2 linked regions of the Neurospora crassa OR74A genome follow. The protein of the gene in region 1 purifies or fractionates together with the protein of each later gene. This does not show direct contact. Links are inferred from orthologs where the notes say so. Each region holds a gene or a part of one and is shown on either strand. Other genes may lie near its edges.

Region 1 (3,750 bases):
AGAACATTGAGCTGTCGTGCACTAAGCCCGGCCGTCTCACCGTTCTGAGTTTGGGCGGAACCGACACTGTCATGACGGCCGAAGCCATTAGCTGCAGCTGGATCGAGAGGGGTCGCAGGGCTGAGGATGGCGTCGTTAATGACGGGTATTTCTTCATCCTTAAACTCACGTCCAAGGAGACCCAGACGGCCGTTGAGCGTTCTTTTCTGATGGTTCAGCCGACTCTGTGGATCGAGAGCTGCAAGGCCCCAATCGCTTTTGTCGCCAATTCTGAGCAAGGACCTTCCGTACTTGAGAATGTTGATAACGTCCAGAGTCATAAGACTGAACTGCTCCTCCTCACTAAGAGAGAGCTTTGGGGGGCCCTCTTCTTTCTTGATGAAGCTATTGCTATCTTCATCTTTCATCGCCGCGTCGGGTTCCTCGTCCGCATTGGGATCATACTGCGGTGCATTTTCGATGATTTTGCCTATAGCCTTGGCAGCAGTTGATCTGGTTTCCCAGTCTTTGTGGCGCAAGTAGGGGACAACCCGAGAGAGTAGATTGAAAAGCTCATCGGGGTGTTCCTTTTGCCATGTGGCGAGCTGATCTACGGCAGCATCCCGAATCAGGCGAGTACTGCCCGTCTCGATAAGCCTACACGTGGAAATTGTTAGTCAAGTGTCCAGGAAAGAAAAAAAACACAAATCTCCAGAAAGTACAGAGTACTTACGTGACAAGGCGATCTAGCCGAGACGCCATCTCTTGTTCATGTCAGTAGACTGTGTTAATGTGATTAATAAGGGGTAATGGCCATGGCACTGCAAGATAGTTAGTATTATACCCTTCCAGCTTTGTCTAATCTTGGGATGGCGGAGCAGATTTGGAGGTTTTCTTGAAGTGTGCAAGGAGAGTTGAAAGACGAGGCAAGGGGTGAGGGGGAGGAGAACAATCAGGGGTAGTGGAACAAGAACGACAACAAAACAACAAGAGATGTTGACGAGGTGAACCCCCTGCCAAGACCCGAGAGGTGACTTGAGAGGGTTAGGGCAGATGCAGTCCACTCGATAATGAACCTCAAGGCCTCATGTGGTAATAAGGATTACAGAACACTGGTTCTGAACTCAAGTGATGTTACAGGAGGAGTGAGGCAAAAATGTGATGAGGTGTAAGGTGTACGGTATGTGAACATACCTTGGGAAGATCCACAGATATGGCAAAGCTGTAGTCCCAAATACACACACAAGGTTCACTCTCTTGTATGCGACGTGGGCGGCTGTGGTGGTGGGGTTGAGAGAAGAAAAAGAAGTTTCTACCAGAAGATCTAGGTAATATCAGGTTTTAGCCATTTGCGCCACATTGCTGGATCTGATCCCACAGTTGACGCATTGTGTGTGATGGTCCATGGTCATCGCCAAAGAAGCAAACAGAATGACAGGATGGGCAGTGTGAGAAGTGCAAAGAAGGAAGGGAATTGGATGGCATGACTCAAGCCAGACAGCGAGTGTGTTGAAGGGGCCAGTAACAATAACAACACTTGCTGCTGCGAGAAGCCAAAGGTAGAGAGATGACTGTGGTGGTGATGGTGGTGGTGGTGATGGTCGTGGTGATGAGATGATATGTGGGAGGAAAGAATGAAATATCAAGGTCAAGACTCACCGTCCAATGAATGGCTCAAGGTGAGCAAGGTGTGGTGGTGGGTGTCCCCGTTCAGCCAAAGGGAAGCAAGTCTCTTTAGTATGCAAGCCAACCAAGGTCGCCGGTACCTTGCGCTAGACAAACACACACACACGCACACACGCACCACACAACTGGAAGAACACACACGGTGCAACGGTGACTACTAGCGGCCGCCTAAGCTGGTCCGTGTGGTCCGTGTGGTCCGTGGAATTTTGGCGGGGGACGCAGTATCGAAGTAATATGTATGGAGGGGTCTGGACCAGGCGGTCAACTCCCGGTCTCGGCGTCTTGAAATACAAAAAAAGCAAGTAGCCAAGTATCGGAAGGTGGTGACGTTGAAGGGCAGGCAGGCAGGCAGGCAGGCAATTCGCAATGTGCGCTGCCTCTCTCAGGTGCTGTGCTTGTGCCTGTTCTGTTCAGTCACGGTGTCGCCCGGATTGGTGCTTGGTTGGAGTAGGTAACAGAGACGTCGGTCGGGTCGTGCACGTGCGGGCAGCAGGGCAGCAGGGCGCAGGTTGTAGTAGTAGGGCGTCGGATGGGCGATGGCGGGCAGTGGGAGGTTCGGGTGGAGGGCAGCGGCCTGTCTATAAAGAATATTGGTTAGTAAATTTATAGACAAGCCGGCACTTCCCAACGTTCCTCCCTTCTCAAATTTTAGCGCGATCCACGTCCGCCCATCGTACCCCTGCCATCCATGCGCCTCCCCAATTGCACCTCTTCGCCCCCAGTCAAGTGCGGCCCACCGCGGCCCCTGATTGGCTGTCTGCTCTCACGCCCCAGTTCGTTTCTCCAGTTAAGAAGGAAGGAGTGCTTTTGCTTTGAGCTTCATCACGTTTTGCCCTGAGCTTTGCCCTGTGGCCCTGCCATGTTTGGCCGTGGTGCACGGTCGAAAGGGCTTTTGCATTCTCGAACTTGACTTTTGATTCTTTTCCCTTTTCCCTTTCATTTCCTCACACGTCTGCCCAGTCCACCTCATCCATTCACTATGCTAACAGTAGGCTTCTATAAGTCGTTGCTGGAATTCCACCATCTCACCTATTGGCAAATTTCACCAGCTGAATGCACTTGGAGTCAAGTCGGATGACGGAGATGCGTTGCAAGTTGCCTGCCTGCCTTAACTCTTCGGGATAAAGCCCAGTGCGACCCAATGACGAATAGCCGGCAGAAAGGCTGCGCTGCAAAACACAGGAGACATAGGGCCTACGTCTGGCCCACCTAAGTGATCACTCCGCCATCACGGTCCGAGGCCTGGGCTGCCTACTTAGCTCTACAGCCGGAGTGGATGTCTTCCAGAACTCCCGCTCGGTCCAGTCACATATCGGAAGTCGTACACTTTTGTTTGCGTCCGGAAGTACTCCGGCCCTCGACCTCCCGTCCGTTTCCGGACCTGGGCTTGATATGACGACTCCCGATGACTGTCTTGACCTCACCTTTCCCGAGAAAGCCGACCTTTGTCCACGGGGTAAGCAGTCAAGTGCTGGTAAGCTTCTTGCTTCCCCCGCGCATCCAGGACTGGGCTCGTCTCGGTCTCGGCTTGGGTCAGCTGCAGAGCAACCTACGTAGTGGTAGGTATAAATATATAAACCCAGACCCCCGGGTCGGCTCGACCCGTCACTTTGCACATATGTTACTGTCCTGTGCAGGGTCACGATATCAAATGTGAGCACTCCACTTCGTACAGTCACTGTTCGTGGGGAAGCCATGGAAACAAGATCATCTATCTACCCGCGTCGGCTCGCTGTTGTCGATACTCGAAGATGTGCACAACCTTATAAAAAGTTTGTCTAGCTGTCATGGCGCGGCGCGAAACGAAAAAGAAGCCATGATGCGGTACACGGTAGTGCAGCATAAGCAAGCTGGCGACGCACCCCATGGTCCATCATCTGTCAAGCGTGTGCCTGATCCGTATCAAAGAGAGGCTTCGGCCGGCTTCTTGCTGTGAGACTCCGAAATCAGGAAAGCCGTATGATTGGGGATATCTCGGTACTGTGCCCTTGTTGGTGACTGTCTCGCCCGTCATGCATTCAGTTCGGATGTTGCCGCCGTCGCCGCCATCTTGTGACCAACAACACCAAGGTACTCGGGAAGCAA
Region 2 (3,698 bases), on another chromosome or scaffold:
GTACAACAAGTGGGGCAAGGAAGGCTACTAAATTATTATACCTCTGTTATCGTCATGATGGAGAAGATTGCTGCGGAAGCAGCATGAATGGGATGGCTTTTCTCCAAAAAGCCAGCCAAGCCACACCACGACACTTGTAGATACGCCTAGATTCCAATGAACGGTTCTCGTGGGCCGTTTTGGTTAATCATGAGATGAAAAGTAAAATACTGCACGCGCACCCCTTACAGCTTGAAAGTCTATTCTTGTTTCTCAACCTCAATTTGTCCTAATGGTGGTATTTGGGAGCCGGAAAGGCTCGGTAAGCTGGTCATGGTTGACACCCAGTTGCGATGAGGATGCAGACTCGGACTCATCTTCTTCAAATCCAAATATGGTAGCTTCATAATGCTCAAGCATATATGATCACCATACATGTCCCGCTCGCAACCAATTAACCATAACCCTCGCTGAATATTCCTACGAAAACAAGGAGGTTATGCCGACAACTTGACGCCGAGAACACCCCAAAGTTTGACCACACCTATCCATGTGTAAGGCGCACATCCAAGTAAGAATAATCCAGAACCCCCTGATCGGGTTTTCTCTTTCTCCAAGAGCCCTCCAACCCAATACAACGCGTACCAACTAAATTCCCAACCCCGATCTTCAACAAACACAAACTTAAAACCACGTAAATGCAAGGCTCTCTCTCTCTCTCTCTACTTTCGCTTCTTCCTCCAACTGTTCAGTACCAACCGACTTGCTTCCAGATTTCAACTATCGCTGTTCCCCACGCCTCAGCTTCGTTAGGCAAACCCGGACCTTTACTATCTGTCCGGAAGGAGTTCCGCCGAGACCTTGGGTTGCTCATTCCGACTGATGGTGACCACCTCTTGCTCATTGATATGCAATTCCACCGGTCGTACTAGCCAAGAAATGTAGCTAGCCCAGTCACTGTTCCCTTTTTCTTTGTTGTCCTCCTTCCTCTCGCTCAGATCTTGGTGGTCCTCATTCCCAACCGGCTTCGCCTTCTCAACCGTTTGTAGCCGGGCCTCTCCTTTCTGGTTCCGCTATGAGATGAGCTGTTCTGTATCGGCTTGAGGTTGCTGCTGCTGCTGCTTCCCGAGGCCGCCCCTTCCCACTTTTCGGCTGTTGCTCTGCATCGGCTTGATGCATCACCTTCTTCTTCTTTTTCTGCCTCTACTGCTTCCGAGGCGACCCCATCCGCTATTTCGGCTGTTGCTCGGGCACTGGTAGACGCACAAGCGTCGGCAACGCCGCGACTTTGCCCCCCTCTTAAGTATGTCGCGCCGCGGCGTCGGCAAACTGCTCCCGTTGGATTCGCTCGAGCTCTTCAAGTGATAGGCCGGACTGCTCGAACTTGTTTGCTTTCTTCTCTCGTCCCTGTTGTGTTGATGTGTGTTAGCTTCGCCAATGAAAACAAAGACACAACCGAACCTGGAGATAATAACCGTTCTAAGTACCTTTTGGACCTCCTTGTGCTCCGCAGCTGCCTCTAGGACGGCGGGGACGTAGTCGGCAAAACCGAGCCGCTCGAGCGCCTGCGTGATGTGATCACAAGCAATCGTCTTTTTCGACTCCTTCTCGGAAATCTCATTCGCCTCGGACGATACGAGCGAGATGAACTCAACGCAGAGATCAATAAGAAGATCCCGTGCTTCCTTGGCGAATGACAGGCCAGTCGACGATGGGAGGATCTCGCTCACAATCTTTTGAACCGTCGCTGTGTGGAAGGTTAGCTCCTACCCTTTGAAATCTTGCACAACCTTGAGCAACTGGCGCAGCTCCCGAGACGTAAAGACTTCTTTCTGCCTGGTGAAGGTGGTCCATCCGATATTCCGTTTGCTTGAGGATAGGCTTCCTTTAGCCAGAAGATACCGTCTCTACCAGCTCACCAAGCCGAAAAGTAGCCTTTGGTTCCCCCAACTGCTTGGCGTTATCCTCCACCACCACATCTCTCGATGATACGGCATCCCAGTATCCTGACTGAAAATTAACGTACCCTTGGGGAGTGAGAGATCATCATTGCCTACAGTAACCTTGTTAGTAAAAAGACATGATAAACCAGGAAAAGGAAAGAATCAAAAAGCAAGCTACTCGGAGGTGGTGAGACTCCAGAGCCAGAGACGATCCATGGCTCCGAAGCGTATGCATAACGGTATCCGGAATATTCGTCCATCTTGGCTGAATGATCGCCACATTTCTCGGTTGAGGAAGGGGTTGAGAGGGCTGTCGTACAAGAACATGTTGTTCATATACATAACACTTTTCCCTGCAGTATATTGTGGCATGCCTTTTCTTATTCACTCGAATTTCAACAATAGGTAGTGAAGAAGGAGTGGATGAAAGGGAGTGTTGTTGGTTTGGACTCATGAGGGAGATTCACTCCACTCAACTTGAGTGTAAGGCTGAGTGGCTTCATCATTGGGCCAACTCAACCGTGCCTAGGTGCAAGCAAATGGGCAATGGTCATCGAGGAACCCCTGCACCCCCCGACAAAAACGAAAACAGAAACATAACAAAAGGTTATACAGAGCGACAACGGACCTCCAAATTCGTGATCGGACATTTTGGCTGGTGGATAAACAAGAGCCTCCTACGTGGGTCGTCGTGGGATGGTGTATATTGATGCCTCGAGGGGTCGGATATCGACTAGGTATGTGGCTGATGATGCAAAACCCCCCAACTGCCTGGGCGAGTGATAACTCTCAAGATATGCGGCCGGTGTAATCAAAGTGTTTTGAAGTCTTTATGAGGTCGAGTGGCATGATGGTCAAGGGAGCCGAAGCTCCCTTTGAGCTCGGAGGTGCCACGGTGAGGATGGTTGCCTTTATACACACACATTGGCACCGCTCCCTTCACTCCAAACCCCAAGTGCGGCTGGCCTGGAAGCTGCCGCCAACGGCAACTGGGCGATTGGCCCTGGTTCATTGCGCGCACAGGGGCAACCATGGGTTTGTGGCGGAGTCGTACATAGAGGCGCACCAGCCACAGTTCCTCAATCATTCCAGGTTTGTCTGTGTGAGTGAATCAAACTGAATCGTCCGAGTCGTCTGGCGCGCGTTTGGAACCGCACACCCCCCGCCTCTCAGCTTTGTGAGGTCAATAGTTTGGTCACCTGGTCGCAACTGGTGAAGGAATGCCAAGTGTCACTGTCATCATCAGGCTCTGGCCCACTCGCAACAGTGAAGGCTCGGTGGACCCGTACCTTCCTCCCTTCCACTTGTGACCTGGGACCCCACCATAAATTTCTGCCGCCGAAATCGTTGTTCCGTTCGAGAAAATTTGGGGTCCATCCATCGCGTCGTTAACTTCTGTTTTCTTCAGCGTTTCCTTCCCTCACCCTTCTACTTTCTTTCAGTCGCGACACCATGCGCTTCCTTTGGGGCACGCAGGCAACTGCACTGTTTCCATGCTGGATCACTTGACTGGACCGCTCATTGTTACACCGAGCAATGTTCATGATAGGTAAGAACACCTTCCCCTTCTCCCCGCCAGCACAAGAACGCAGTGGTTTTGTGTTTCTATGAGGAGATTATTCGTGTCGCCCCTATCATACACAATTATGGTGATAGACACCGACAAGCCAAACGTCACTACTGATCGAAAACGAACTACTGTGTTTTTGTGTGTTCTGGAGTTTCAATCTCGTCAGCAAATTTGCTAACAGTTTCTCCCAGTGTCCAGCAATGGTT

What was found. Proteins that work in one complex are often made in the same cells at the same time.
Region 2: the proteins of crf8-1 (region 1) and ada-2 purify together in Saccharomyces cerevisiae (affinity purification with western blotting; 3 studies listed by BioGRID, with this or other methods). This does not show direct contact. The link is inferred for Neurospora crassa OR74A from reciprocal best matches to the Saccharomyces cerevisiae genes MOT1 and NCB2.

What each region holds. Positions count from the first base shown.
Region 1 is NC_026503.1:4,377,016-4,380,765, forward strand, and holds the start of crf8-1 (TBP associated factor), read right to left. Parts: upstream 2,226-3,750; 5' UTR 1,639-2,225; intron 1,381-1,638; exon of another isoform or gene 1,304-1,380; 5' UTR 1,174-1,303; intron 801-1,173; 5' UTR 742-800; coding exon 713-741; intron 637-712; coding exon 1-636. Other genes in the region: NCU07555 (hypothetical protein), read left to right, coding at 3,485-3,597. UniProt on the Saccharomyces cerevisiae protein: Regulates transcription in association with TATA binding protein (TBP). Removes TBP from the TATA box via its C-terminal ATPase activity. Both transcription activation and repression require its ATPase activity.
Region 2 is NC_026501.1:1,662,186-1,665,883, reverse strand, and holds ada-2 (CBF/NF-Y family transcription factor), read right to left. Parts: upstream 2,883-3,698; 5' UTR 2,573-2,882; coding exon 2,551-2,572; intron 2,033-2,550; coding exon 2,006-2,032; intron 1,727-2,005; coding exon 1,467-1,726; intron 1,387-1,466; coding exon 1,279-1,386; 3' UTR 212-1,278; downstream 1-211. Other genes in the region: NCU02016 (hypothetical protein), read left to right, coding at 1-31. UniProt on the Saccharomyces cerevisiae protein: Component of the NC2 complex which represses RNA polymerase II transcription through binding to SPT15/TBP and thereby inhibiting the assembly of the preinitiation complex.